Linked DNA regions of Callithrix jacchus. Each later gene encodes a partner of the first gene's protein in a complex. Links are inferred from orthologs where the notes say so. Each region holds a gene or a part of one and is shown in the gene's direction. Other genes may lie near its edges. The genes, in order: POGLUT1, F7 and NOTCH1.

Region 1 (10,364 bases):
GGGAAGAGCTGCTCATTCTCACCCTCAATTGTTTCCTTCCGCTTATGGTGTTCTCTAATATGAAACCTAAATGCACTTAGGAAGTAGGTGGAATGGTACCTGCTTTCCTTGATGACTCCCATTCCTTCCCAGCGTCATAGAAGAAGATCTAACTCCTTTCCGAGGAGGTATCTCCAGGAAGATGATGGCAGAGGTGGTCAGACGGAAGCTAGGGACCCACTATCAGATCATTAAGAACAGACTATACCGGGAAAATGACTGCATGTTCCCCTCAAGGTAAGAGTTATTAGGTAGATATACCTTCTGACTTTATTATATATAGGCTTACTTGATACCCTTTACAGAGAAGCTAATTCAGGGAACTAACAAGCAAATCCCTCCTCACATTTCAGGGGGACTGCAAAATAGTAACGAGCTCTTCTCCTTGCTGGGGGATTTTTCTTGTGAGCTCCTCTCAAAGCCTGACTCCTCTGTGAGGCTTGGCTCATCACTGGTTGTACTGTCAGTGGCTCTGCCTCTTCTGCTCCTTCCCTGGGATATAGTGGCTGCAGGACACAGTCTGATGAGGCTTAGCAGGCCCAGAAGGAGGGTGCTGGGCTGAAGGAGGAGGAACAGTTGGTTGAATGTCTGTCATGGGCCAGTATAGTTCTAGATGCTGACTATTCAAGGACAGGTGGTGGAGTCAAGAGGAGTAACTAGATGGGATGTGGTGGCTCACACCTGTGATCCCAGCACTTTGTGGTGGATTGCTTGAGCCCAGGAGTTTGAGACCATCCTGGATTATGGCAAAACCCTGTCTCTACAAAAAATACAAAAATTAGCAGGGTGTGGTGGTACACACCTATCCTCCCAGCTACTTAGAAGGCTGAGGCAGGAGGATTGCCTGAGCCCAAGAGACAGAGGCTGTATGTAGTGAGCCAAGATCGCACCACTGCACTCCAGCCTAGACGACAGAGTGAGATCCTGACTTAAAAAGATAAAAAAACAAAAGAGGAGCAACTGATGCTGCAGATTATACTAGCCAGGACTTCAGATGTGAGAGCTGAGGTACCATGTCAGTGGGCTGAAGGCAGGGTGGTAGGCAGGGATGGTCATGGGCTAAGTGTGGAGATTGGGTTTAGGCATCATTGCACACATAAAAAAAAAACCTTATTTTTGGATTTTTTTTTTTTAACTCAACTCTTTATAAAATAGTAAGATATAAAACTCGGAGGGCATAATATTCCCTTAATCTAAGACCATCTTTCTAAACAACCCCTATTCTGTCATTAAAAGTAAAATAAATGTGCAGAGTTGGAAAATAAATGCATCAATTTGTACATAAAGATTTATAGTATTTGTATTTAATAAAAACTTCGTTTTATTTTAATATTTTCTGTTATAAATCTATAAACAAGAAAACAGTCTGGGCACGGTGGCTTGTGCCTATAATCCCAGCACTTTGGGAAGTCAAGGCAGGCAGATCACTTGAGCTCAGGAGTTCAAGACCAGCCTGGACAGCATTGGTGAAACCTCATCTCTACAAAAAATACAAACATTAGATGAGTGTGGTGGCATGTGTCTGTAGTCCCAGCTACTTGGGAGGCTGAAGTGAGTGGGTCACCTGAGCACAGCAGGTCAAGGCAGCAGTGAGACTGAGCCATAATTATGCCACTGTGGGCATTCTTGGGGTTTCTGTGGCCGGCAGCGGCACCCTGCGTCCTGGGTGTGAAGAAAGTGGGGGATCCCCCTGATTTTCCCCTCCTCTAGCTACCAGAGACCTTCTGTCCTACTTCAGTCCTCTGCCCCCTCCTCAGGTGGCTAATGAGGATGGTGAGGAAAACCTCAGAGAACACCCTCCAGGACTCCTTTCACCTCCCTCACTCAAGCAGTTTCTCTCATACGAAGTGAGGCCAAAAAAGAAGAAAAAAAAAAAAGAGGCGAACTCAAAAAACCATCTATGCTGGGAGCGGCCAGTTGGTACCCTTGTAACGAAATCTGTTAGAACAACTTTGCACCCTCCTTAAAGGAAACAGATGATACTGTGCTCCAGCCTGAGTGACAGAGTGAGACTTGTCTCAAAGAAATTTTTAAAAAGAAGAACAATAAAAAAAGAAAGATTATTTAATATCCCACAACCCTGAGGAAATCACTTACCCTGTGGCTATCAGGTATCAGGGGAAATAAGGTTGTAGTGGAAAAAATGATTAAGGTATTTTAAACAGACATTTGTTTCATTATTTGGGACTCAATAATAGAGACTTTAAATATAAATTATGAGTCTAGGGGAATTTTTAATTTCCACAAATGAGAAATAAAATAAGAATATAAACATGTTGGACTTTGAAAGCTTACCTAATGTTTAATAGTTTGCTGAACAATTGGCATATGAAATTAAATACTTTCAAAGTTTCTGAAAGGCACAATTCTCTTCTTCCCGAGCTCAGAGCATTTTGATCAGAATTGTGAGCTTAGAAATGTTCTAAAGGGAGCACAGGACCTTTCATTAGCAATAGAATAATGTATATTTCCATTGACACTAAAAGTTCCCTATCGTAGCTACACATATAACTAAGGAAAACAGAGAGGGACAAAATACAAATAGAATACAGCATTCCAAAACATAGTCCTTAATGAAATGCATACAGTTGTATGGTATCTCAAAGATTCCTATCTAGCTAGAAATGTATTTCTAGGTCTAGATACTTTTAATTCATCCAGTTTCAGAAACCTGTGTGACATTTTAAAAATTCAGCTTCAAATAAAATATAAACTCCACGTTTCAAGGAGGAGCAGAAGAACCAGAGGTTTAATTAATGATAGAAACAAGTCATTTCAAAGATGACAAGTAATGGTATTTTTTAAATAACAGTTTTAGTGGGGTTAACATAAATTACATATAAAGTATATAACGTAAATGTTCCCACAACAAAAAAATAGTATGTGAGGATATGTGAATTAGCTTGATATACTCATTCCATAATATAAACAGATCAAAACATTACATTATATCCTGTAAATATATACAATTATTATTTATCAATTAAAAATAAAAAATACAGTGTGCACTGATAAGTCCTCATGTATGTTTATACCAAGATAATGACCCTTTCATCTCAACCAAAATGTTCCTTGTGCCTCTTTGCATTCACTATCTCCTGTATCCCCCTGTCTGCCTTCTCTCTCCATGTCCCACCTTCAGGCAGCCGCTGACTGCTTTCTCAAATTATAGATTATTTTCTATAATTTTCTAGAGTTTTCTATAAATGGAATCATGAGACAGTACTATTTTAAAAGCTAAATGTGGCCGGGCATTGTGGCTCACTCCTGTAATCCCAGCACTTTGGGAGGAAAAGGAGGGTGGATCACCTGAGGTCAGGAGTTTAAGACCAGCCTGACCAACATGGTGAAACCCTGTCTCTACTAAAAATACACAAAAAAATTAGCCCAGCTACTGGGGAGGCTGAGGCAGGAGAATCACTTGAAACTGGGAGGCGGAGGTTGCAGTGAGCTGAGATCACGCCATTACACTCCATCCTGGGCAACAAGAAGGAATTTCCATCTCAAAAAAGAAAAACAATTAATAAAATTAAATTAAAAGCCAAATTTGGAAGAAATATGAGTGTTTTAGCTGTAATGTTTAAATTGTACCACAACTTTTAAAAAAACTTTTAACTAGTTTGTTTTTCCTTTAGTGTCAGAGTATTACATGCACTTTGGATATGTAAAACATCCAAATATTTTACTATCTATTTGATGGTAATATCTATTTTATCAATTAATATCTATTTTACCGTGTGCTAAAATATTTGGATAACTCCAAAAGACATTCAGTGAAAAGGAAGTTTCTCTTCCACCTCCGACCCTCAGACCTCTAGTTCCTGAGACTGTTTTTCAAAAGACAATTAGAATTATGGGTCTTGTATATCCTTCTAGAAATAGTCTATCCATATATAAGCATCTAGACTCATCAACAAACTAGAACGTGCTCTATCTTCTGTTCTGCACTTAGATTTCTTTTCCATTTAACAGCAGATTTTGAGATGGTTCCATACAAGTCCGTAGAGAATACCTCACTTTCTGTGGCTGCATAATAGTTTATTACGTGGATTTCTTCATTCAGCCCTCTGTTAGTAGACATTTAAATTATCCCTCACCACATCATTTTGCTTTTTAGATAATGAAAGCAATACTGCAGTGAATATCCTTGTTACCATCAACACTCATGTAAATATATACGTAGGCTAAATTCTTAGAAATATCATAACTAGGCCAATTAATGTCATTTTAAATCTTGACAAACAGGCTGGGTGCAGTGGCTCATGCCTGTAATCCCAGCACTTTGGGAGGCCAAGGTGGGTGGATCACCTGAGGTCAGGAGTTTGAGACCATTCTGGCCAACATGGTGAAACCTTATCTCTACTAAAAATACAAAAATTAGCTGGGTATGGTGGCACGTTGGGGGAAGGTTGCAATGAGCCGAGATCATGCCATTGCACTCCAGCCTGGGCCACAGAGTGAGACTCTGTCTCAAAAAAAAAAAAAAAAAAAAATTGATAAATAGGCGGGGCACAATGGCTGTCACCTGTAATCTCAGCACTTTGGTAGACTGAGGTGGGAGGATCACTTGAGCCCAAGAGTTCAAGATCAGTCTAGACAACATATCAAGACTCTGTCTCTACACACACACACACACACACACACACACACACACTTGCCAGGTGTGATGGCACACAGTTGTAGTCCCAGCTACTCAGGAGGCCAAGGTGAGAAGATTGAGCCTAGCAGCTTGAGACTACAGTGAGCCATGATCATGCCATTGCACACTCCAGCCTGGGGGGCAGAGCAAGACCCTGACTCAAAAAAGAAAAGGAGAAATCTTGGTAAAGAGAAGCAAATTGTCCTACAAAGAGGCTAACCACTTCCACAACCCTTATATCACATGCTGTGAATAGAGCTCACACCCTCACCAACACTGTGCACTGTCAGACTTTTTGATCTTTGCCAATCTGATTGGTAAAATTGGTATCTAGCATCATTGATATTTCTTTTTCTTTTCTTTTTTTTTTTTTTTGAGATGGAGTCTTGCTCTGTCATCATGCTGAAGTGCAGTGGTGCAATTTCAGCTCACTGCAACATCTGCCTCCCGGGTTCAAGTGATTCTCCTGCCTCAGCCTCCCGAGTAGCTGGTACTACAGGTGTGTACCACCACACCCAGCTAATTTTTGTATTTTTAATAGAGACGGGGTTCCACCATGTTGGCCAGAATGGTCTCGGTATCCTTACCTCATGATCTGCCCACCTCGACCTCCACAAGTGCCAAGATAATAGTTCTTTATTAATAATACAGTTGAACATCTTTTCCTATGTTTGTGAACCATTGATATTTTTTGCAGTTGTCTCTCTATATATAAAACTTTTTTTTTTTTTTGGCTAGGGCATCTCACTACATTGCCTACTGTATCACTATGTTACTATGTTGCTGGTCTAGAACTTTTGGGCTCAAAGAACCCTCCTGCCTAAGCTTCCCAAGTAGTAAGACATTATTTTAAATCAGTCATTTCCATGCTGCTAGAAAATTTTGATCAAGCTGCCCCTAGCATAGTGCTGGTCAGGACCTCAAAGGATGAGGCAGAAACAAGCTAAACTGTCAGTGTATCTTTTTCTTTCAAGAAATCCTCTGAGGATTTCTAGGGAATCTAGTCATAAAGCTATGTTACAGTATTTATGATTATGTATATAACAGATTTTCTGGCTTGCAGAACTGATTTTGATATTGTTCTTTATTCAGGTTGAAAGTAATGAAAGGTTTTCTATTTGTTCTCATAAACTAGGAGACTTAATTACAATGGAAATAAAAATGGTGTCTTAGTGAGAAGCAAAGCCAAAGAAACACAGTTAGAAAATTTGCTATTTCAGCTGCTACAAGAGTTTGTATCTTGTCTGCTAATTAAACTATACCATAAAAGGGAAATTTAAAAAAAAGAACTGGAATGAATAAAGTGGTAGAAATAGCAATAGTATTCCCTTCAAAGCTATGATGATTTATTTGGAAAATTTTATTAAGTATTGTAAGCTGGAGCAGCTTAACTAGGAGTGAACTTGCACAATATAAAAAAGCAGAATAGCCCCTGTAAAAGCATTGCTTTCAGAAGACTTTGCAATAGGCTTATGATTTGGAACACTGCCTTGTCTTACTTTAAAATGTGAAGGGTACCTCACCTTGTCCTAGAGCCTGCAGGCACTGCTCTGCTGAATTTATGGTATCTCTCATTGACAGGTGTAGTGGTGTTGAGCACTTTATTTTGGAAGTGATCAGGCGTCTCCCTGACATGGAGATGGTGATCAATGTACGAGATTATCCTCAGGTTCCTAAATGGATGGAACCTGCCATCCCAGTCTTCTCCTTCAGTAAGGTAAGTACAGGGAGAGCCACAAGAGGGAATGGAGGGTGGTCCTCTAGGATGTGAGCATGAAATCATTGTCCTGTGATATAGTTTGATGGGTAATGGTAAGGATGAGGACTGAGGTCCGGAAATAGGTCTGTGTCTCTGTTAGCATCACAGTGATTGAGCAAAAGAGGAGATGGAGTTGAGAACTGGTAAGTCATATAACATTGGTTGAGTCTCTTTAAGGCTAGGGATGGAGGCTAGGGTGTGAGAGCCCTGAGAAACCTACAGGAATTAGAGGTGGGACTCAAAGATCCTATAGAGCATAGAAGGAAAGAGTTCAAGAAAGCTTAGAGTTAGGGAATACCTTCATTCAAAAAATGTTTTTTGAGCCAGGCGTGGTGGTTCACGCCTATAATCCCAGCACTTTGGGAGGCCGAGGCGGGTGGACTATGAGATCAAGAGATTGAGACCATCCTGGTCAACAAGGTGAAACACTGTCTCTACTAAAAGTACAAAAATTAGCTGGGCATGGTGGCACATGCCTGTAGTCCCAGCTACTCGGGAGGCTGAGGCAAGAGAATTGCTTGAACCCAGGAGGCGGAGATTGCGGTGAGCCGAGATCATGCCATTTGCACTGCAGCCTGGGTAACAAGAGCGAAACTCCGTCTCAAAAAAAAAACCAAACAACAAAAAAACGTTTTTTGAGCTACTCCTATGTATATAGTCAGCCATAGTGCTGGGTATCATCTGTTTCATCTGTCGCCATATTCCAGGGGCCTGGCATGGCTAAAAGTGAACCTGAAGGTGCTCAATAACTCCACACGGGTTGTGTGCAAACATTGCATAGGAAGGATAGGCCTGAGATAGCCTAGAGGCTATGCAAGGGGGTGATCTTCTAAACTCATCATGGAAGACTGAAGTAGCTAGAACACACCTGTGGGCTTGGGGAATTGGGGGCAAGGAATATCTTGTCAGTGCTCAGGTTCATGTACATGTTGTATTGGAAGGGATAGGCATTGGTTCCCCAAAAACAAGGAAAGTATTCAGGGGTGTGGTGGAGAGGCTGGAATAGAGTGAATGGAAAATTCTATGGGGTAAGAGTAAACTGAGGAAAACCCCATGGAATTTGGGAGAATGAACACTATCTCTGATTTGGTTTGTCCAAAGCAGAGGGAACTTTCAGCCCCACTTCTTCTTTATAATAGTTTACTTTCCCCCTAGACTTGTTTTATTTCCTGTGTTGCAAGTGGGCAGAGGCCACATTTGTGCTGCATTTCCCATGTCTAGCTTCATTCTCAAAAGTGCTTGGTTCCATTGTTTGTTCTGAAACTCACCCGGAAACATAGATAGAGGCTTCCATGTAAGGCAGTAGGGACTTCATGTTTGGTATCTATCTATTGTTTCTGTGGATAATAGAGTATGACCACAGGTCTACCAACTTTCTGTTCATCTTTACTTCCCTCCTGTTTTTTAAATCAGTGACTTCTAGTTTCCAAGGGAGGGTTTTACTCTGTCAACTTTATAGTTAATTGTGCAGCTTCTGTTGAATAGTTGTCATGTTGAAGGTGCTTGATGAATCACATCATTTTTTACATATTTGAGAGAAAGTAAACAGCATATTGCACATGTATTTCCAGTGGAAGAAACAGTAGAGTTACAGGTTTATCAGTGGCCAAATTTTTAACAGAAGTAACTCTAAAAACGAACAAATGGTTTCAAACTTTTCTTTTTTTTTTTTTTTTGAGACAGAGTCTCTCTCTGTCCCAGGCTGGAGTGCAGTGGCACAATCTCAGCTCACTGCAACATCCGTCTCCTGGGTTCAAGCAATTCTCTGCCTCAGCCTCCCGAGCAGCTGGGACTATGGTGCCTGCCACCACACCCAGCTAATTTATTTTGTGTATTTTTCAGTAGAAACAGGGTTTTATCATGTTGATCAGGCTGGTCTCATCAGGTGATCCACCCCCCTCAGCCTCCCAAAGTGCTGGGATTATAGGCAATGAGCCACTGTGCCAGGCCTCAAACTTCTTTCAAAAGATATATGATAACATCCCTTCCTCTCATTCTGCTCATCCATACTTCTGACCCTGATCAATGAATAACCAACCAATGTGAGCCCACAGCATGAGATAACACTAGCTAATATTTATCAAGTGCGTACAATGTGCCAGATACTGTTCTAAGATTTATCAACTAATTTAATATTCAAAATAAGCCTTTTAGGTAGATCATATTATTGATATTATTGTTTCCCTCATTACAATGATAAGGAAGCTGAGGTATAGAACCATTCAGTAACTTGCTAGAGCTGTAGAGAGGTGGAGTCAGCAATGATCTGCCTCTACAGCCCACAGTCTTAACCATTGCACTGTATTTCTTGGCTCCTACTCTCAAAAAAAAAAAAAAAAAAAAAAAACCCACTGGGAAATAACAAAAAACTGGTAAGACAGTGTGAACTCTAAGTGTAAGAGTTAAACAATGAGAGAGCTCTGTGATTATTTAGAGTTGGGAATAGTGTTTCCTTAAATTGAAAACCTTAACAGTATACATCTTCTAGAAAAACAGGATGTGGGGGAACTGAAAAAGTTGACCTTTAATTTGTGATTCTAAATTCTAGACTTCAGTGAGCCCATGACTTCTAATCCATGATCACTTTTGCCTTTTAATGTCTACAGGCTAGACTTTGCAGAATAGGGAAAATATATCTTTGGCAATATGACACTAAACCAAGGCTGTCCAGATCCTGTGGCATGATTGCAGTTGCCTCTTTTCACTCTGTTCCAAGACTGATTTAGAATGACCTGTCTGTTTTTGTTGAAGACATCAGAGTACCATGATATCATGTATCCTGCTTGGACATTTTGGGAAGGGGGACCTGCTGTTTGGCCAATTTATCCTACAGGTCTTGGACGGTGGGACCTCTTCAGAGAAGATCTGGTGAGGTAGGTCCTTTAAAGAGGTTTTATTTTTTCCTCTTTCTGGGTTTTCTTGAAATAAGCCATAGAATATAACCAATTATTTACTTTTAAATGACTAATTTTTAAGTTAAAAATTAAAGACAGCAAACAGTAGCATAAACAATTTGGTATGTGTCTAAAAATATTTACATTATCCATAGAAAGGGCAGAATAACCTATCCTAAACTATCAGCAATGCCTCTCTGGGAGGGATTATCAGAGACTTGTTTTCTATTTTAAATTTTTTTATATTTAAGAGTCTTTAAATAAGAGTGAATTACTTTCATAATAAGAAAAAAATGAATGACGGTGTCACAGGGGAGGATAGAAAATTATTTGGAAGAACATAAACATACGTGGCAATTGAGAGCCAAGTTCTTTAGGCAGGACTGAAGGATCATAAATGCCCCATAAGAATCTCAGGTATAAGCTTATTCCAGATTCTCTCTGATTCATGACAGACGTGCCTTGGCCTGTTGACTCCATTCTGCTATCATTTCAGAATTTAGATTGTGTAGCTCATCCAAGCTGTAGGTATTTCTTACCCAGCTACATTTTACATGATGATTCAAACAACTTTGGTGCTTAATTAAGAAACTTTCAGAAACACAGTCATTATAGGTCTTCCCTCAGGTATAAGGAAAGCAAATAATTCAACCTTGTTCCCATAAATACCCATCACATCTACTAAATGCAGCTGAAAATTCAAAGAGGTAAGGGAATGCTCCCTTCCTGAAGAAACATACAGGGCTGCAGTCCTCAGTGGCAGGAAGAGCCCTTTGTTAGAAAACAAACTTCTCCAGTGGGTATAATTTGGAAAATTTTTAAAATAACAACTTAGTCTCAGATTTTACAGAACTGGAACTAAAAATTGTCTTTGTCCAGCCCTTTATTCCCGGGATAAGGGAATAAAGGCCCAGAAAGGTTTAGTGACCTGGTCAAGGTCAGAAGCAAATCCAGGCCTGAAGTTCCGGTTTTCAAGTGCATTATCCGGCTTACTTTACCACTTAATATTCCTTGTGTTTTCCTGACACTGAGA
Region 2 (10,364 bases), on another chromosome or scaffold:
GGCTACGTTTTCTATTTTTAGTAGAGTCGGGTTTTCACCATGTTGGCCAGGATGGTCTTGATTTCTTGACCTCATGACCTGTCCTCCTCAGTCTCCCAAAGTGTGGAGGGATTTTCTGATGCAAATCTGCTTTCATCCCAGGGCAGTCACCGGCTCTGCCCACGCCAGCCTCCAGGGGTGTGGGTGTCCTGGGAGTACCCCAGGGGGTGTGGATGTCGCAGAAGTGTGGGTGTCCTGGGGTGTTGGTGTCCCAGGGGCGTGGGCGTCCCAGATATGTGGGTAGCTCGAGGCTGTGGGTGTCCCCAGGCTGTAGGGACATAGGCCTCCCCTCCGCACTCCTGCTGCCTGGGGCACCTCCTGTGAGGACTTAGTCCAGGACTTCCCACCTCCCGGAGCCTCGATTCTCTGGAGTCCCCGCCTGTGCACCCTCAGTCTCTCCTTCCCGACCAGATCGTTCTCTAGGGACGTCGACGTGTGAAGCTGCTTTCATAGGAAACAGGCGGTGGCGTTTCTCTCGGCCCCACGTGGCCCGGTGGCGCCCACCTTCCGTCCCTTCCTCCACGATCGGTAACTGACTTCTGCTCCGCGTTCCCGAGGCCGCTCCTGCAGAACTCGGGGCTCCTGCCCACCGGCGGCCTGCGAGCCGCTGAGGCCGGTCCTCCGAGCAAGGGCGGCCTGGTCGTCCCTCCGAACGCGCCCTCCGCTTTCCCCTCCGCCCCGCTCGCCTCCTCCCGGGCCTCCCTCTCCCGCACCGGCTGGGGCGGGTTCAGGCAGCGCAACTGCCCTGGGAGGGTCGCTCCTCACTCCGCCTCCGCGTGGCGTCCACAGCTCTCAGCACCACCGTCCCGCGCCCGACTCCGCGCTCCGCGAGGCGGTCCCCTCGGCTGCGGGGCGTCCTGAGGAACCGCCTGCGCCTCGCCCGGGGCCTCCCTGGCCCTCCCCAACCCCGTTTTCCCATAAGCAGGGCGGGGTCGCGGGTGCCTACGAGTAGCCTCAGGGTTACTGCGAGGCCGGGAGCTGCGCCGGGGCGCTGTGCCCTCAGGACCGGCCCGAGGAGGATCCGCGGGGTCCTGAGCTCCGGGGGTCGCCGGGGACCGAGGGGCACCGAGCGGGGGCGGGGAAGGCGCAGGAGCCCAGGACTGCCCGGAGCTAGCGAGGAAGCCAGGGCTCGGTGTGGGGGAGCCGGGCAGGGCCCGCGCCTGGGACCACACAGGGGCCTGGGGACCGCAGGCCTGGCCGCCGGGGACGCGGTGCGGGTGGAGACGAGGAATTTGGGTTGCCGCAGGCGGCGGTGCAGGGCCCCCGCGGCATTGGCGGCGGGTCACGTGGCCCCAGGGGGTGCCCAGCGCCCCCGGCCGCGCCGCCTTCTCGCCAGGCGTCAACCCCAGCATCTCATTTCCGCCGCGGCGCCCGCGGCCCCCTTTCGGCTCAGCTTCCGCGTGGGCCCCTGGGCGCGCCCTCGGGATCAGCTCCTGGAAGCCGGGAGGCCAGGCCGGGAAGGAGGAGGGAGTGGGGTGGCCGCCCGGGGAGCACCGCAGGGAGGACACCGGCCAGACCTACCGGCGGCGCAGGCCCCGAGTCCCCCGTCGCGCCGCTCCCCTCCCCCGGGACGGGAGCGAACCTGCGACCCCAGAGCTGCGCGGGGCGGGGCGGGGCGGGGGGGCGGGGCCGGGGGCGAGCGTCTCACGGGGCTCCCGTTCCTCAGTCTTCCTGACCCCGGAGGAAGCCCACGGCGTCCTGCGCAGGCCCCGGCGCGCCTACGGGTTCCTGGAGGAGCTCCGGGCCGGCTCGCTGGAGCGGGAGTGCAAGGAGGAGCAGTGCTCCTTCGAGGAGGCCCGGGAGATCTTCAGGGACACGGAGAGGACGGTGAGTTCCCCGCGCCGCGGGCCGTGGGCGCCGAGAACCAGGCCGCGTGGGGCCGCCCGGCGTCTCCCTCTGAGCGGGAACACGCGGCGGCGCCCACGGAGCGCCCCCTGCCGGTCACCTTCCGCCTGGGGCGACTCCTCTCTCCTCGGTGACGCTCCGCCACCCTCGCCCCGTTTCCAGGGACGCCCCCCGCCCCCCGCACACGCTGTCCCCACGCTGCCACACCGCGCATGACCGTCTTCACATCAGAAAATAGGACTTAAGAAGCGCACTTAGGATGTCCCCCAACCCCCTGAGGATCGGGGCGGCGCGCGGCTCACAGCAGGCACGCGGTAGAAGCTGGCCCGGGGGAGCGGCCCGCACCGTGATCAGCGGCACCACCCAGGGCACGTGTCCGGGAGAAGCAAAGTGTAGGGACCTGGGGCTTCCTCACAGGACATCTCACACTCACAGGTCACACTTCACACAGGTCACCTCACACTCAAAGGTCACACTTCACACAGGTCACCTCACTCAGATCACATCACACTCAGATCATATCACACTCACAGGACACACTTCACACAGGTCACCTCACACTCAGATCACCTCACACTGAGATCACATCACACTCACAGGTCACCTCACACTCAGATCACCTCACACTCACAGGACACACTTCACACAGGTCACCTCACACTCACAGATCACACTTCACACAGGTCACCTCACACTCAGATCACCTCACACTCACAGATCACCTCACACTCAGATCACATCACACAGGACACACTTCACACAGGTCACCTCACACTCAGATCACATCACACTCACAGGACACTTCACACAGGTCACCTCACACTCAGATCACCTCACACTCAGGTCACCTCACACTCAGGTCACACTTCACACAGGTCACCTCACACTCAGATCACCTCACACAAGTCACCTCACACTAACAGGTCACCTCACACTCAGGACACACTTCACACAGGTCACCTCACACTCAGATCACCTCACACAAGTCACCTCACACTCACAGGTCACCTCACACTCAGGACACACTTCACACAGGTCACCTCACACTCACAGATCACACTTCACACAGGTCACCTCACACTCAGATCACCTCACACTCACAGATCACCTCACACTCATCACATCACACTCACAGGACACACTTCACACTCACAGGACACCACACTCACAGGACATCTCACACTCAGGACACACTTCACACAGGTCACCTCACACTCAGATCACATCACACTCATCACATCACACAGGTCACATCACACAGGTCACACACTCAGATCACCTCATACTCAGATCACATCACACTCACAGGATACCTCACACTCACAGGACACACTTCACACAGGTCATGTCACACTCAGATCACATCACACAGGTCACCTCACACAGGTCACCTCCACTCACAGGTCACACCACACAGGTCACCTTACACTCAGATCACCTCACACTCAGATCACCTCACACTCACAGAACACACAGGTCACCTCACACTCACAGGACACTTCACAGGTCACCTCACACTCAGATCACCTCACACTCAGATCACATCACACTCACAGGTCACATCACTCAAAGGACACACTTCACACAGGTCACCTCACACTCAGATCACCTCACACTGAGATCACATCACACTCACAGGTCACCTCACACTCAGATCATCACACTTACAGGACACACTTCACACAGGTCACCTCACACTCACAGGACACCTCACATTCACAGGTCACCTCACATTCACAGGTCACCTCACACAGGACACCTCACACTCACAGGACAGACTTCACACAGGTCACCTCACACTCACAGGACACACTTCACACAGGTCACCTCACATTCAGATCACCTCACACTCAGATCACATCACACAGGACACACTTCACACAGGTCACCTCACACAGGACACCTCACACAGGACACACTTCACACAGGTCACCTCACACAGGACACACTTCACACAGGTCACCTCACACTCAGATCACCTCACACTCACAGGACACACTTCACACAGGTCACCTCACACTCACAGGACACACTTCACACAGGTCACCTCACACACTTAGATCACCTCACACTCACAGGACACTTTACACAGGTCACCTCACTCACAGGACACCTCACTCTCAGATCACCTCACACTCACAGGACACTTCACACAGGTCACCTCACACTCACAGGACACTTCACACAGATCACCTCACACTCACAGGACACCTCACACTCAGGTCACTTCACACTCAGGTCACCTCACAGGACACCTCACACAGGACACACTTCACACAGATCACATTACACTCAGATCACATCACACAGGTCACCTCCCTTCATAGATCGTATCACACAGATCATATCACACACTCACAGGTCACCTCACACTCGCAGGACACACTTCACACAGATCACCTCACACTCACAGAACACTTCACACAGGTCACCTCACACTCACAGGACACTTCACAGGTCACCTCACACTCAGATCACCTCACACTCAGATCACATCACACTCACAGGTCACATCACTCAAAGGACACACTTCACACAGGTCACCTCACACTCAGATCACCTCACACTGAGATCACATCACACTCACAGGTCACCTCACACTCAGATCATCACACTCACAGTACACACTTCACACAGGTCACCCCACCTCACACTCACAGGACACCTCACATTCACAGGTCACCTCACACTCAGGACACCTCACACTCACAGGACAGACTTCACACAGGTCACCTCACACTCACAGGACACACTTCACACAGGTCACCTCACATTCAGATCACCTCACACTCAGATCACATCACACAGGACACACTTCACACAGGTCACCTCACACAGGACACCTCACACTCAGGACACACTTCACACAGGTCACCTCACACTCAGATCACATCACACAGGACACTTCACACAGGTCACCTCACACAGGACACACTTCACACAGGTCACCTCACACTCAGATCACCTCACACTCACAGGACACACTTCACACAGGTCACCTCACACTCACAGGACACACTTCACACAGGTCACCTCACACACTTAGATCACCTCACACTCACAGGACACTTTACACAGGTCACCTCACACTCACAGGACACTCACTCTCAGATCACCTCACACTCACAGGACACTTCACACAGGTCACCTCACACTCACAGGACACTTCACACAGATCACCTCACACTCACAGGACACCTCACACTCAGGTCACTTCACACTCAGGTCACCTCACAGGACACCTCACACAGGACACACTTCACACAGATCACATTACACTCAGATCACATCACACAGGTCACCTCCCTTCATAGATCGTATCACACAGATCATATCACACACTCACAGGTCACCTCACACTCGCAGGACACACTTCACACAGATCACCTCACACTCACAGGTCACCTCACACTCACAGGTCACCTCACAGATCACCTCACACAGATATCACACTCAGATCACATCACACAGGTCACCTCCCCTCACAGATCATATCACACACTCACAGGTCACCTCACACTCACAGGACACACTTCACACAGATCACCTCACACTCAGATCACCTCACACTCACAGGTCACCTCACTCACAGATCACCTCACACAGATCATATTACTCACAGGTCACCTCACAATCACAGGACACCTCACACTCAGGTCACCTCACACTCACAGGACACCTCACACAGGACACACTTCACACAGATCACATCACACTCAGATCACATCACAGAGATCACCTCCCCCCACAGATCATATCACATAGATCATATCACACACTCACAGGTCACCTCACACTCGTAGGACACACTTCACACAGGTCACCTCACACTCAGATCACATCACACAGGTCACCTCACACAGATCACCTCACACTCACAGGTCACCTCACACTCACAGGACAGACTACACATTCACAGGTCACCTCACACTCAGACTACCTCACACTCACAGGTCACCTCACACTCACAGGACAGACTACACATTCACAGATCACCTCACACTCACAGATCACCTCACACTCACAGGTCACCTCTCACAGGACAGACTAAACATTCACAGATCACCTCATACTCACAGATCACCTCACACTCAGATCACCTCACACTCACAGGATACCTCACACTCAGATCTCACACTCACAGGACAGACTATACATTCACAGGTCACCTCACACAGGATACCTCACACTCACAGATCACCTCACACTCATAGACTGTCTGACATTCACTGTGTGAGATCTCTCACCTCACACTCATAGGATGTCTCACACAGGATGCCTCACAGTCACAGAGAACCACATCTCATAGGCACAAGTCACCTCACACAGGACATCTCATACTCACAGGAAGCCTGACACTCACAGGAGATCGAGCTGAGACACAGGCTAACATGGCCCTCTCCAGGCAAATGGAGGATGGTCATGCCTAGCGTTTTTCTACACCTAGTTTTCAAAGCAGTTCTCATCTGTTATATTCTCACAGCACCCTGTGAGTTTGAGTTCTGATGACCAACAGTTTCTTCAGCAACCACTTTTTTCTGCGGAGCGCTTTTGTAGTTTGTGGAATATTTTTCATCTGCTACTACACCTTCTCCCCGTGCAGCTGTGTGTGTGGCTGCCCTGTCAGAGGTGGAGCTGTGGTTCAGAGCCTGTGTCCCTCGCCCCAGGTCCACAGCTCGGCAACAGAAGAGTCAGGGCTGAACCCCAGCTGTTCTGACTTGGGAGCAGACAATGTGTGCTTACCCGTAGTTCCAGATGTCCTGGGGAGGGGCTGAGATGAGGAGAAACCTCCCTCGGCTCCAGAGGAAAGTCTGGCTTCCTGAGCCCACCCCGCCAGGCCCAGGTCTAAGCCCCCGCCCCTAGCTTGTGCTTTGTCCAGGGCTTGCTGGTGGTGCTCTGGTGAAGGTGTGGCTCACGTGCTTCCTCTCTTGCTCCCTCAGAAGCTCTTCTGGATTTCTTACAGTGGTGAGTAGATCGCCCACCGATGCTGCCTGCAGCCTTCTCCGCAGTGTCCTGACGCCAGCCCACTCCACAGATGGGGACCAGTGTGCCTCAAGTCCATGCCAGAATGGGGGTTCCTGTGAGGACCAGTTCCAGTCCTATATCTGCTTCTGCCTCCTTGGCTTCGAAGGCCGGAACTGTGAGACAAGTGAGGTCCCACTTTGGGTCCCATAATTGCAGAGGGCCCTGGGGAGCTGGTGGAGGTGGCCTAGCCCAGCGGGCTACAGGGTGCACCATGGTGGGGTGTGTGGACCGGGCATTCTGGGGTCAGCCCCAGTTGGAAGTTGGTGTGGGTGACCTTGAAGTTCCTTCCAGTCAGGTCTTTGATCCAGGGACCCAGGGTTCTAAGTCTCAGACTCAGCGGCCCCTTGGGCTCCCGGCCCCGGGAAATTCTCAGCCCTTGAGAGGGCCCAGCTGAGAGTCCCAGTGTCCCTGTCCCACTTCCACATCCCACCAGGCCAAACACTTCCCATTACAAAGGTTTGAAGGTTTTCCCTTCTGAACATTAAATTATTGCCAAGTGGGGGCCCCCAACCTCCCTTGGGTTCAGTCATTCATCGGAAGGACTCAGAACCCACTGAAGTGGATACACTCACCGTTACTGTGTATTACTGCAAAGGATGCAGCCCTAAGTCTGCAGAGGGCCCAGGCACAAGCTTCCTATTGTCCTCTCCCTGTGGGGTCATGTGGACAGTTCTTAATTCTCCCAGAGCGACTTGTGACGAGATGTGGGAAATACGGCCAACTTGGGAAGTGCCACGAGCCCTGGTGTCTAGAGATTTTATCAGGGCTCAGTCACAAAGACCCAGCTGACCCCCCCATGTGGCTGACCTAAGTTCCAGTCCCTCCAGAGGCCAAGCTGTTAGTGTGGCCCTAGGCCCCGCCATGTGTCACATTGTCAGCTAGACTGTCCAGCATGGCCTACGGCCTGGGTAAACAACAACATTCCCTCAGGCAGGACCTCCCAAGGGCTTAGCGGTCACTTCCCAGGAGCCAAGGCAAAGGCTGCCCTCTCTCCCTGACCATCCAAGTCCACATTCTTACACTGAATGAGCTCTCTCCGGCAGCAGCCACTTTCTAATTTAAGCAGAGGAGAGCCCAGCAGAGTAGGGGAGACTGAGGAGAAAGGCTTCCTGCTGGTCATCTGGGCCCAGGACATCTCAGAGCTCTGCTCAGCCCTGGTGCCCAGCAGCCCCGGTGCCCAGCAGCTCTGGTGTGCATCCCGCAGGGCAGCCTTCCCCCCAGAGTCCTGGGCTTACTCAGGACCACTCCCCTTGCCCACATCAAGCAAAGTCGGGCTGCCGGTTCTGTGTCTTCTGTCTGAGCCCATGGCCAGTGCTGGGGCTGACTGTCCCCAGGCTGGCTCATGGAGGCACAAGGACAGCATGGAGAACTGTCTCAGCTCTCTGGTCCTCCTGCCAGTTGGATCCCTGACTGGAAGTCCCTTGGACACTTGTATTGTCCCCATGGGACTTTCACTTTCCTCCAGGCTTCCCTCAGCTCCCCATCAGCTGCTTAGAAGAGCGGTCGCCCTGGAGGCCACTGCCCACCAGCCAGGCATCCCCCCAAATGCAACTGCAGCCAGCGCTGTCCCCAGCTGGCAAGGCTGTTCAGACATGTGACTCCTGATCCAGGCCTGGTCCTTTGGATCAATCCATGGAGCAGTTGGTGCCAAGCTCAGTCTCTGTCGCCCACGGCTGAGTGCTACCTTCCAGGCAGCTGCTGACCCAGGGCACGGCTACCCCCGGGGCTGGCTCTCACTGACTCCAAGGGGCCATTCTCGAGCTGTCCCCTACCTGTCCTCAGACAAGGATGACCAGCTGATCTGCATAAATGAGAACGGCGGCTGCGAGCAGTACTGCAGCGACCACGCGGGCACCAAGCGCTCCTGTCGGTGCCACGAGGGATACTCACTGCTGGCAGATGGGGTGTCCTGCATGCCCACAGGTGACCAGGCCCCAGGGGCTGCTTGTGGTTTCATGTACCAGATGACCCCCAGTCCCAGATGACACCAGTCTTTGTCCCACCACGGATTATCTTACTGGACAAAAGATGGGTAGGGGTGGCTTTGCATCTACTGAGCACCCACTATGCGCTGACCAATTGTGAGGCGGGATCTGGGCACCAAGGTGGCACAGGCCAGAGCCATAGTGCCTGGGATGGGCACCCTGGGGCAGTCCCTGAATGGCCTCAGGCCCCCCTGCCCATTCTAGACAGGCCAGGGGAGACAAGCGAGGCATTGTCTCACATCCCACCCCGACTTGTGGGACCTCCACCAGGGTTCGTGAATCTGCTTGGACACAGCCAGTGTCTACTGACTGCTGCCCCACTCTGCATTCCTAACCCGGTAAAGGCTCCTGGGAAAATGGGACATTTCTCCAAACCAGCCTGGAGCTAATGGGCTGCACTTCCAAAGACAGGGACATCCCACGCATGCTGTGTCTCAGGCAGGGATACCCCACCCCCACTCTGCCTCAGGCAGGGTCACCCCATTCCCGCTCTGTCTCAGGCAGGGACACCCCATTCCCTCTGTCTCTGGCAGGGTCACCCCACACCCGCTCGGTCTCAGGCAGGGACACCCCACTCCCGCTGTCTCAGGCAGGGCCACCCCACACCCGCTCTGTCTCAGGCAGGGACACCCCACTCCCGCTCTGTCTCAGGCAGGGACACCCCACTCCCACTCTGTCTCCGGCAGGACACCCCACTCCCACTCTGTCTCAGGCAGGGACACCCCACTCCCGCTGTCTCAGGCAGGGACACCCCACTCCCGCTGTCTCAGGCAGGGACACCCCACTCCCGCTCTGTCTCAGGCAGGGTCACCCCACGCCCACTCCGTCTCCAGCAGGGCCCCCTCATGTCCGCTGTGTCTCTCAGAGGCAGATGTGCCCACCCCAGCCATACAGCCTAGAACTCAGCCTGCCACCTCCTCGGATTTTCTTTCTGGCCCAAGGCCTTAATTGGAGCAGATCGAAAACTCAGCGTGGGATCAGAACAACACAATTGTTTGTGCTGTTGATTCATCTTTAGGCAGAATTTCATTAACCTTTTAGTAAAGTCAAGCAACACATCGTCCCCCTGAACAGTGAGCAGAGGGTGGTTTCAAGATGTAGGGCCCTCCGTTTCCTCCAGAGCCAGCCCTGACCATTGTCTGCTCAGCCAGCTGCTTCTGCCAGGGCCTCTCATGGGCCAGCCCCACCAGCCAGGCCCAGCCAAGGCCCTGCCCTCCCCTACCCCTGGGACCTGGCAGCTCCTGCGAGGGGGCCTCCCGAAACCTCGGCCTCAAGCCTCTCAGAGCAAGGATGCTTCTGAGCCTGAACTTGGGGCACACTCCTCACAGATCTCTGCATCTTCCTGACTTTTGTTTTACACAGTTGAATATCCATGCGGAAAAATACCTATTCTAGAAAAAAGAAATGCCAGCATCCCCCAAGGCCGAATTGTGGGGGGCAGGGTGTGCCCCAAAGGGGAGTGTCCATGGC
Region 3 (10,364 bases), on another chromosome or scaffold:
CGTCCGCCCAGGCCCAGTGGCCACTTAGCATCGTTGCACTGAGTCCAGACATTTCGTTGTACCGACACGTCCCTCCTGAGAGGGCTGTTGTGACCTCCGCCTGTGTCCTGCGCCAGGAACCCCAGTTGTGTCTCGTGAACAACAGCGAGAACTGTGTCACCCTTGTCTTCTTTTTGCTGTGGTTGCCAGGAAACTCAGTGGTAAAATCAGTGTCGCTCCTGGTGTCTGACGTAGTCACCTCCTGGATTGCTGGGACAGGTTCTGGTTTCTACCTCATTCTGACTGTAACCACCCTACTGCCATGTGCTTAGTAAAGCTCCTCTTGACGTGACTTATGAAGAAGGCAGGCAGGAAGGCATGACTTGGTGTGAGAGCTGGGCTCCAGGCTCCCGCTGGCCTCTCCGGGTCAGCCAGGCCGCTCTGGGTCTGTCCTGGCCGTTAGGTCCCTCAGGGCTGAGTGGAGGCGAGGTGCTGGCAAGGCAGGGTCTGCTCCAGAGAGGACCCACCAGTGCCTCCCGCTCACCACCCACCTGTCCACCTGCCCGCAGCTCCTGCTTCAATGGTGGCACCTGTGTGGACGGCATCAACTCCTTCACTTGCCTGTGCCCACCCGGCTTCACGGGCAGCTACTGCCAGCACGACGTCAACGAATGCGACTCACAACCCTGCCTGCATGGTGGCACCTGCCAGGACAGCTGTGGCTCCTACAGGTGCACCTGCCCCCAGGGCTACACTGGCCCCAACTGCCAGGTGAGTGTGCAGCCACAGGTGCCTGAGGAGGGCCTGGGGTGCGTGCCTGCCTGTGGGGGGTGGGAATGGTCACCCCCAGGCCCAACTGTGTCAGCTTGGGGCCCCCACACCCCTGGGCGGAGGGCTTCTAGGGATCTGAGCGGCCAGTGAGGGAATCTGATGTGGGAGCAGCAGGCGTCTTTGTTCAATCCCTGATTTCTGCAGCCAGGGCGGGAGCTCAGGAATTAGGAAATCCTGGTGTGGGGGCGGTGGGGAGTCCAGAGGCCGAAGTTTCCAATTCTGTAGAGTGGGCTATGGGACAGGATGGAATGGGGCTCCTTGGCCGATATGCATTATGAACTGGGAAGGGGATGGCCTGGGGGGATGGCCTAGAGGTGCCCTGGCAGAGTGGCCTGGGGGATGGCCTGGGGGTGCCCTGGTGAGTAGCCTGGGGGGTGACCTGGAGGGATGGCCCGGGGGCAGGCACCTGGTTGACCCCAGCCTGTCCCCAGAACCTCGTGCATTGGTGTGACTCCTCACCCTGCAAGAACGGGGGCAAATGCTGGCAGACCCACACCCAGTACCGCTGCGAGTGTCCCAGTGGCTGGACCGGCCTGTACTGTGACGTACCCAGCGTCTCCTGTGAGGTGGCCGCCCAGCGGCAAGGTAACCTGCTGTGCCCGACCGCCCAGGTCCCAGCCCACTGAGGTCCTCCGTGGGCCTGGGCCTCACCTGCCCCCCTACCCCATCCCCCACAGGTGTTGACATTGCCCATCTGTGCCAGCACGGGGGGCTGTGTGTGGACACCGGCAACACGCACCACTGCCGCTGCCAGGCGGGCTACATGGGCAGCTACTGTGAGGACCTGGTAGACGAGTGCTCGCCCAGCCCCTGCCAGAATGGGGCCACCTGCACCGACTACCTGGGCGGCTACTCCTGCAAGGTGGGGGCCCCCATTGTAGAGTGGGGGTTGTGGCCGGTTGTGTTGCCACACACCAGGCCCTGACTGCGAGCTGGCACAGGGGAGAAGACCTGATAGGCCCACGCACTGTCCAGGATCGTTAAGGGAGGGCTGGGGTAATCGGGGTGGACTTCCTGGAAGAGGTGGCCTGTGGAGAGCCTGGAGGAGGGTGAATATGCTAAGAAGTGGGAGGGGGTTCTTCCCCTAGATTGTATCTGGGCTTGGCCAGCACTTACCCAGAGGCCCTCACCTCTATCCTACAGGACGGGGTCCACCCAGCCCCATCAGACAGTGACTCTGGTCACCGAGGCCGCACCAGGGTCTGCTGAGGGTGGCGGGGCGGGGGGTTCTTTCTCCAGGTCTGACAGGATCGAGGGGCCCATGCTTCATGGGACCTGAGGGCAGCTCACACGGCCCTGCCAGCCCTCACAGTGGAGGGGGGGAGTGCCAAATCCTGGCCCCGGCTGAGCCCCCGGTTCTCTCGCCTACACAGTGTGTGGCCGGCTACCACGGGGTGAACTGCTCTGAGGAGATCAACGAGTGCCTTTCCCACCCCTGCCAGAACGGGGGCACCTGCCTCGACCTCCCCAACACCTACAAGTGCTCCTGCCCACGGGGCACGCAGGGTAAGGGCCACTGCACGGAGGGCTGGCGTCTGGGTGGCCAGGGCCAGGGCCAGGGCGGGGGCAGGGCAGGCACCCTGAGATCGGCCAGAGGTATCCAGGAACCACCCAGAAACTCCGTCTTCCTGTGAGGCCAAGGCCAGTACAGAGCTGCCCAGGGAAGGGGCCCAGAGCAGGGATCCCAGCGGGAAAGATGTCTCCCCTGCACCCTTGGCACTTGCCTCTCCTGAGCATCCGTGCAGCCCCAGACCAGAGCACTTGTCATCTGGGAGGAAGACAGGGCTCGGCAGGGCAGAGGTGTGGTGAGCACAGGCCTCTGATGGCACCTGGCCCCACAGGTGTGCACTGCGAGATCAACGTGGACGACTGCAACCCCGCCATGGACCCCGTGTCCCGGAGCCCTAAGTGCTTTAACAACGGCACCTGTGTGGACCAGGTGGGCGGCTACAGCTGCACCTGCCCACCGGGCTTCGTGGGTGAGCGCTGTGAGGGGGACGTCAACGAGTGCCTCTCCAATCCCTGTGACGCCCGCGGCACCCAGAACTGCGTGCAGCGCGTCAATGACTTCCACTGCGAGTGCCGTGCCGGTCACACCGGTGGGTGCCATGCCCGGGCGGGTGGGGCCCACAGGGCGGCAGGGTGAGCCTCTCACTGCCGGGCTCTCCCCCGCAGGGCGCCGCTGTGAGTCAGTCATCAATGGCTGCAAGGGCAAGCCCTGCAAGAACGGGGGAACTTGTGCCGTGGCCTCCAACACTGCCCGCGGGTTCATCTGCAAGTGCCCTTCGGTAGGTGCCAGGGTGCAGGGGGATGGGGACCCTCCCGGGAGGCACCTGGAGAGGTCCAGATGTGGGCCTCGGGGCGCAAGCGGGGCAGCCATGTCACTCCGATGTCATTTTTTTTTAGTTTGAATAAATGAGTTTTAGAGAGATTTTAGGTTTGTAGAAAAATGGAGCGGAAGGTAGAGTCCCTGGGGCGGCTCCCCTGCATGCGGCTCCCCTGCATGCAGCTTGCGTCAGTTTCACTTGTGAGCCACAGCACTTAGACGTTGTTACCAGCACCAGCCCTTCCTTTACCTGCAGCTTGCCCTTGGCTTTGTGGTTGTGGGCTTGGGTTGAGGTATGACACGCGTTCCCACCCTCGAAGGATCAGGGCAGACAGTCCCTGCCCTGAAGTCCCCAGCATTCTACCAATTTACCCCTTCCTCCATCTCCCGACCCCCTGGAACCCCCTAATCTTTCTCCATCTACAGAATGTTTTGTAAAGGGTTTTGCTGCTGGGGGCAAGGCTGCAGGCTGCCTCCCAGGTCAAGGGAGGCTGGGTGCTGAGCTTGAGGTGGCCAGGGGTGGCCCACCCTGACACTGTCCCATCTTCCCTCTTGGGCAGGGCTTCGAGGGCGCCACGTGTGAGAACGACGCACGTGCCTGTGGCAGCCTGCGCTGCCTCAATGGTGGCACCTGCATCTCCGGCCCACGCAGCCCCACCTGCCTGTGCCTGGGCCCCTTCACGGGCCCCGAGTGCCAGTTTCCCACCAGCAGCCCCTGCCTGGGTGGCAACCCCTGCTACAACCAGGGCACCTGTGAGCCTACATCCGAGAGCCCCTTCTACCGCTGCCTGTGCCCTGCCAAATTCAACGGGCTCCTGTGCCACATCCTGGACTACAGCTTTGGGGGTGGGGCCGGGCGCGACATCCCCCCGCCGCAGATCGAGGAGGCATGTGAACTGCCTGAGTGCCGGGAGGACTCGGGCAACAAGGCCTGCAGCCTGCAGTGCAATAACCACGCGTGTGGCTGGGATGGCGGCGACTGCTCTCTCAACTTCAACGACCCCTGGAAGAACTGCACGCAGTCTCTGCAGTGCTGGAAATATTTCAGCGACGGCCGCTGTGACAGCCAGTGCAACTCGGCCGGCTGCCTCTTCGACGGCTTCGACTGCCAGCGCGTGGAAGGCCAGTGCAAGTACGGCTGCGGGGTGGGCCGTCCCCGTGGGGGCAAGGGAAGACCCGAACTCGGACGTGGCCAGCATGCAGTTCCCAAAGCTCCGTCCAGCGGGTGCAGGGATGTTCCCCGAGGCCGGTCCACAGGCTGGACCATCCGGGGTTGGGTGCGAGGCCCCCGGAGGAAGGCGGCCTGAGTGTGTTCCACCCCCACAGTCCCCTGTACGACCAGTACTGCAAGGACCACTTCAGCGACGGGCACTGCGACCAGGGCTGCAACAGCGCGGAGTGCGAGTGGGACGGGCTGGACTGTGCAGAGCATGTGCCCGAGAGGCTGGCGGCCGGCACGCTGGTGGTGGTGGTGCTGATGCCGCCAGAGCAGCTGCGCAACAGCTCCTTCCACTTCTTGCGCGAGCTCAGCCGCGTGCTGCACACCAACGTGGTCTTCAAGCGCGACGCAAACGGCCAGCAGATGATCTTCCCCTACTACGGCCGCGAGGAGGAGCTGCGCAAGCATCCAATCAAGCGTGCTGCCGAGGGCTGGGCCGCACCCGGCTCCCTGCTGGGCCAGGTGAAGGCCTCGCTGCTCCCTGGTGGGCGGCGGCGGAGGGAGCTGGACCCCATGGACATCCGCGGGTGAGTGAGACCCAGCACCTGCCATCAGTCCCGGCACTTCACCTGGGATCTCCCCCATGGCTCCTCTGCCCCTCGTGGCCGGTGCCAGGGCAAGCAGTACTCTCTCCATTTTACGGTAAAAGAGACAGAGGTTCCGAGAGGACCTGGAACTTCAGGGCCCACATGGGCAAGGAGCAGAGGCAGCATTCCACCTCAGGGCCCTGACCCCGCAGCCACACCCCTCCCTGGGCCACTGCCTTCCCCAGGCTGGGTAGGTTTCACTCCTGTGCCCAGTGGGTAATTTTGAGATTGAGCTATGCCACAGACACTGGGTACTACAATGTTAAAACACAGTTTTCTGCCAGGCGAGGAGGGTCATGCCTGTAATCTCAGCACTTTTGGAGGCTGAGGCAGGAGGAGCCCTTGCCTTGAGCCCAGGAATTCAAGACCAGCCTTAGCAACATAGGGAGACCCTGTCTCTGCTTTCTTTAAAAAGTATTAAAAGAAATAAAAAACAAAAAGCTCAGCTCTCTGGGGGCTCCCACAGGGCTAAACAGACCCACCCCAGACAAGAATGCCACTTGGCCATGGCATCTGCCTGGTTTGGGCTGGAGAGGAGGCAGGTAGAGGTCCTGGAGGGACCTTATAGACAAAGGAGGAGCTGGTGGGGAAGGGGGTCCCATGGTAGGAGAACACAGGTGGGGCAGCTTGAGTGCAAGGGACACCCACAAGGCTCCCGCCCCCGTCTACTCCCTCTGGGACAGCTGGACCCAGGGGCCAGGTCAGTTGTGCCCCTGATGTGCCTGATCCTGGTGGGTTTGCTCATCAGTTCTGCTGCCTTGGGGCAGCTCTGGAGGTCAGAAGCATCATCTCACAGGCTGGATGGGATCCTGCTCACGGGAACCCAGCCTTGGGCAGCAGGAGCCCCGCTGGGGAGCAGGGATCACCCCCAGCCCCCTTCACCGCACAGCCCACCACAGCTGCGCCCGCCCCCACCGCACATCTGCACTTCCCACAGGGCCTGGGGATGGCTCCTGGGAGAGAACTGGGCTCCTGGGAGAGAACTGGGCTCCTGGCACATACTCTGTCCTGAGATGAGGAATGTGTTTGTGGCACCAAAAGGAGCCAGAGAGGGTGGCAGGGTGGGGCAAGGAGAGCGTGTTGGCAGTTACCGGGGATGAGCTGCGATCGGCACTGGCCAGACGCCGGGGGCTGCAGGACACTGGTCCCCTCCGGGGTAGCTGCCGTCAGACCTGGCTTCCCTCCGCCCCAGGCTGCCCTGTGGTGTCCTGACTGTTGCATCATGGGCCTCGGTGTCCTGGGGGCATCATCCTGGACTGGCGGGCAGGGGAGGAGGAAGCCTTGGGTCCCAGCCCCTGCCCGGTTGTCCCCCCAGCTCCATCGTCTACCTGGAGATTGACAACCGGCAGTGTGTGCAGGCCTCCTCGCAGTGCTTCCAGAGCGCCACCGACGTGGCTGCGTTCCTGGGGGCGCTCGCCTCACTAGGCAGCCTCAACATCCCCTACAAGATCGAGGCTGTGCAGAGTAAGTACGGCACCCACCCTTGCCCCCAGCCCAGCACGGCATGGAACAGGCTCCCCCTGCAGGGGATGCGACCACCCCCTCCCCGTGCCCCAAACATGCTAGCTCTTTGTGCCAGTTGCCACCCATGGATGTGCAAGTCACCTTCCGAGATGGGGTAGCGCTTTTCTGGAATTTTCTGAATGGCACTCCGCCTCGACCTGTGGCGGTGACAGCTGCTGGTGAAGCCACTCGGGAACGAGCCCATCCACGGGAAAGCGGGTGCCTTCTTCTCTCCCCACCCCTTCCCCCTGATTATTCTTTGTTGGGTATTATTTCAAAATCATTACGGCTTTTTTTTAAGAAAAAAAAGAGAGAGAGAGAAGAATTGATCGGTGTCATGTGAAGTGTTGAAGTTTGTATCTTGAAAATCCCCCTAAATCCTTTGTCTTAACAGCTCAATGCGAGTGCTGCGATTTGAAGTTCACTAATCCTCCTCCCTTAAAGGAGAAAAAAGTAAAAGCCGTCTCCAGATAGAGTCGGCTGCTGCAGGAGAGAATTTAGCGATAGTTTGCAATTCTGATTAATCGCGTAGAAAATGACCTTATTTTGGGGGGCGGGATGGAGGAGAGCGGGTGAGGAGGCGCTTAGCTGCGGAACCAGTCCGCTGCCCCCCAGCCGACAGCCTGCTGCGTAGCTGCCACCTGATGTCCAGGCGCCTGCCGCCGTCCTCTGTGTCCGCAGGTGAGACCGTGGAGCCGCCCCCGCCGGCGCAGCTGCACTTCATGTACGTGGCGGCGGCCGCCTTTGTGCTCCTCTTCTTCGTGGGCTGTGGGGTGCTGCTGTCCCGCAAGCGCCGGCGGCAACATGGCCAGCTCTGGTTCCCCGAGGGCTTCAAGGTGTCCGAGGCCAGCAAGAAGAAGCGGCGGGAGCCCCTTGGCGAGGACTCCGTGGGCCTCAAGTGAGCGGACGCTGCCCCGGCTTCTGGGGGTCGGGGGAAGCAGACCTGGCCAGGCATCCTCACTGGAGGTCTGACCCTCCCGACCCAGGGTCCACCTCCCATGCCAGGCCTGGGCCAGGGGCCTCTGGGGGCTTCCTAGGGAGCTGGCTCCGCCTCACTTTCTGACCCCTCACCCTCAGGCCCCTGAAGAACGCCTCAGACGGTGCCCTCATGGATGACAACCAGAATGAGTGGGGGGACGAGGACCTGGAGACCAAGAAGTTCCGGGTGAGTCGCTGGGCTCCTGGGCCCCCAGGCTCCTGCCACCGGCTGCCCTGACATGACTCTGCTCACTCCCCCAACTTAGTTCGAGGAACCCGTGGTTCTGCCTGACCTGGATGACCAGACAGACCACCGGCAGTGGACCCAGCAGCACCTGGATGCCGCTGACCTGCGCATGTCGGCCATGGCCCCCACACCGCCCCAGGGCGAGGTCGATGTCGACTGCATGGATGTCAACGTCCGAGGGCCTGGTAGGGGTGCCAGCAGCCAGGACTTCCCCAGCCCCACGGCCCACCTCCCTCTCCCCAAAGCCCCAAGGCTGTGGTACAGTTGATACTCTGCAAACTTAGAGTTGGGGGCGAGAGCTTTCATCCTTGGGGTGTTTCCCATTCAGAGTGGATTGAGGGGGTCCTGGAGTCATCCTGTTCTTCCAGCAATGCCTTCCTGGGTGATGCTGCAGGCTGACTCTGCACCTGTAAATTAATCTCTTCTGAAACCTTCTTCTTGAGACATGGAAAACATTGATTTTCTTTCTTTCTGTTTTTTTTTTTGTTTGTTTGTTTGTTTTGAGACAGAATCTTGTTCTTGTCACCCAGGCTGGAGTGCAGTGGTGTAATCTCGGCTCACTGCAACCTCCACCTCCCGGGTTCAAACAATTATTCTGCCTCAGCCTCCCGAGTAGCTGGGACTACAGGCGCCCGCCACCACACCTGGCTAATTTTTGTATTTTTAGTAGAGACAGGGTTTTACCATATTGGTCAGGCTGATCTTGAACTCCCACCTGCCTTGGCCTCCCACAGTGCTAGGATTACAGCGTGAGCCACCGCACCTGGCCAAAGTGTTGATTTTCTAACTGCATGTTTCTGGCGTTGTTTTTTCCTGGGTGGGTTTTGGGTGCCAGGTCTTGGGCAGGTCAGGAAGCCAAGCTGCTGGGGTCTCGTTGCCTGCCTGGAGCTGACTGCTGGATTTGGCTCTGTCCACCGAGTAGCCCAGGCGGACTTCAGCTGCCCCGCAGTGGCTATGTGCTCAGGGTCACTGAGTGCTGGGTGGTGGGGCCACACCGTGGCCCCTCCAGCTGTGGGCTGCTGCCCCCCTCCCCTGGGCTGCAGCTGGGCACCGGCCCTCCAGACTGAACACCATCGCCTCTGCCCCTGCAGACGGCTTCACCCCACTCATGATCGCCTCCTGCAGTGGAGGCGGCCTAGAGATGGGCAACAGTGAGGAGGAGGAGGATGCGCCAGCCGTCATCTCCGACTTCATCTACCAGGGCGCCAGCCTGCACAACCAGACAGACCGCACAGGCGAAACTGCCTTGCACCTGGCTGCCCGCTACTCACGCTCTGACGCCGCCAAGCGCCTGCTGGAGGCCAGTGCGGACGCCAACATCCAGGACAACATGGGCCGCACCCCGCTGCATGCGGCCGTGTCTGCCGACGCCCAAGGCGTCTTCCAGGTAAGCAGCAGCTGTCTGGGTGCCCACTGCCCTCCTCGGGCCAGTGGGTGGTCCGGGGCAGTGGCCAGGCTTACATGGCCCTGGGAGCCTGAACAGCTGAGGCCAGAACAGCTGGTGCCTCCACCCAGGACCTTCGAAGTCAGTGATGATCAAGTGGGGAGGGCGTCAGGCCCATCTGCATCCTCCAGGGAAGCCAGGTAGAGGTGGGTCCCGAAGGAGGCCCAGGGGACCTGCTGAGCGAGGCAGGGCCTCCCCACCCGCAGCAAGACAGGCTCTGGCAGGGTTGTGGACCTTGCTCAAGGTCCAGGTCCCCCCGCTGAAGCCCCTTGAGGCCCCGCACCCGCCTCAGCCCTGGCTGCAGGGGTAGCCTGTGGCAGTGAGAAGGGTTTAGAGGCTGCCTCTCAGTGCCTGCAGACCTGGGGCTCAGCTTGCTGGCGAGCTCGTGGCAAGAACAGATTTAGGGATTTGGATGCCTGGGTCTCCAGGGAACGTCCCTGGCAGGGACTGCTTTTGGGGTCACCCCTGCTGTAGGCCCCCAGGCTCCAGGTGGCCCCAGAGCAGGTTCAGATGGGCACAGCCCAGGGCGGTCACCACACAGCTTCTGGTTTCATGATTTCTTAGCTTGGGACACGTTGTCATCCCGCAGAAATAAACATAGGTGAGTGGAAGGAGTGTCGAGGGGAGCCCTGTGTAGGCCTGGTGTGTGCCCCTCCCAGCGCCTTTGCACAGATGTAGAAGTTCCCAGGTGCTTTGCAGGAATCAGGCCCGTGCTGCATGGCCAGTGGCCCCTGCCTTTTCTACCTGCTGGTGAGCAGGGTCCATCCCTCCCACCGGAGGCCCAGGCCAGGCTGCACTGAAGGGCTGCCCGCCTCTCTGTGGGTGGTTCTAAGTCGGCTGTAGAGCCGTGTGCAGGGCCTCATGAGTGCTCCCTCTTGGAGGCAGGGACTTGACTTCTCTGTTTTGGAGGTGGTCATGGCAGCTAAGACCACGGTGAGGATTAGATGAGGCCACGTGAGGTCACGATGGGCCCCACTGTCACCAGGGGGAGCAGCACAGCCCCTACCCCCGCCTGGCCCCTCTTCAGGGGCAGCCCATGGCATCCCGCCTTGCCCGGCCATGCAGATCTCAGGAGGGTCTTCTCTGTATCTGGAGGGCAGTGGGGCCTCCGGTCCAGGCATACATTCTGGGCAGGAGGTATCGGTGTGTGTCTGCCCGGCACCCGCCCGAGCCTCTCCCTGTGACCCAGATCCTAATCCGGAACCGAGCCACAGACCTGGACGCCCGCATGCACGATGGCACGACACCGC

Evidence for each region.
Region 2: the proteins of POGLUT1 (region 1) and F7 are in contact, whole or in part, in a crystal structure (PDB 5L0S), measured with the Homo sapiens proteins. The link is inferred for Callithrix jacchus from reciprocal best matches to the Homo sapiens genes POGLUT1 and F7. Residues at the interface, in NP_689518.1 of Homo sapiens: Met103, Phe104, Pro105, Ser106, Arg107, Arg132, Asp133, Pro171, Ala172, Trp174, Pro178, Thr179, Thr214, Asn239, Gln240, Ala241, Val274; in NP_000122.1 of Homo sapiens: Asp108, Gln109, Cys110, Ala111, Ser112, Ser113, Pro114, Cys115, Gln116, Asn117, Gly118, Gly119, Cys121, Gln126, Ser127, Tyr128, Arg139, Asn140.
Region 3: the proteins of POGLUT1 (region 1) and NOTCH1 are in contact, whole or in part, in a crystal structure (PDB 5UB5), measured with the Homo sapiens proteins. The link is inferred for Callithrix jacchus from reciprocal best matches to the Homo sapiens genes POGLUT1 and NOTCH1. Residues at the interface, in NP_689518.1 of Homo sapiens: Met103, Phe104, Pro105, Ser106, Arg107, Asp133, Gly170, Pro171, Ala172, Val173, Trp174, Pro178, Thr179, Gly180, Thr214, Asn239, Gln240, Ala241, Val274; in NP_060087.3 of Homo sapiens: Asn454, Glu455, Cys456, Val457, Asn459, Pro460, Cys461, Gln462, Asn463, Asp464, Ala465, Cys467, Gly472, Glu473, Phe474, Val485, His486.

The regions. Positions count from the first base shown.
Region 1 is NC_133516.1:83,322,680-83,333,043, reverse strand, and holds part of POGLUT1 (protein O-glucosyltransferase 1), read left to right. Parts: intron 1-132; coding exon 133-276; intron 277-6,259; coding exon 6,260-6,395; intron 6,396-9,188; coding exon 9,189-9,310; intron 9,311-10,364. UniProt on the Homo sapiens protein: Dual specificity glycosyltransferase that catalyzes the transfer of glucose and xylose from UDP-glucose and UDP-xylose, respectively, to a serine residue found in the consensus sequence of C-X-S-X-P-C.
Region 2 is NC_133502.1:28,569,244-28,579,607, forward strand, and holds part of F7 (coagulation factor VII), read left to right. Parts: intron 1-1,560; exon of another isoform or gene 1,561-1,705; coding exon 1,706-1,866; exon of another isoform or gene 1,867-1,949; intron 1,950-6,824; coding exon of another isoform or gene 6,825-6,847; coding exon 6,848-7,033; intron 7,034-8,691; coding exon 8,692-8,832; intron 8,833-10,256; coding exon 10,257-10,364. UniProt on the Homo sapiens protein: Initiates the extrinsic pathway of blood coagulation. Serine protease that circulates in the blood in a zymogen form. Factor VII is converted to factor VIIa by factor Xa, factor XIIa, factor IXa, or thrombin by minor proteolysis.
Region 3 is NC_133502.1:184,969,578-184,979,941, reverse strand, and holds part of NOTCH1 (neurogenic locus notch homolog protein 1), read left to right. Parts: intron 1-548; coding exon 549-750; intron 751-1,241; coding exon 1,242-1,395; intron 1,396-1,487; coding exon 1,488-1,672; intron 1,673-2,183; coding exon 2,184-2,316; intron 2,317-2,651; coding exon 2,652-2,909; intron 2,910-2,985; coding exon 2,986-3,098; intron 3,099-3,696; coding exon 3,697-4,268; intron 4,269-4,462; coding exon 4,463-4,882; intron 4,883-6,257; coding exon 6,258-6,406; intron 6,407-7,126; coding exon 7,127-7,343; intron 7,344-7,522; coding exon 7,523-7,610; intron 7,611-7,689; coding exon 7,690-7,855; intron 7,856-8,761; coding exon 8,762-9,057; intron 9,058-10,303; coding exon 10,304-10,364. UniProt on the Homo sapiens protein: Functions as a receptor for membrane-bound ligands Jagged-1 (JAG1), Jagged-2 (JAG2) and Delta-1 (DLL1) to regulate cell-fate determination.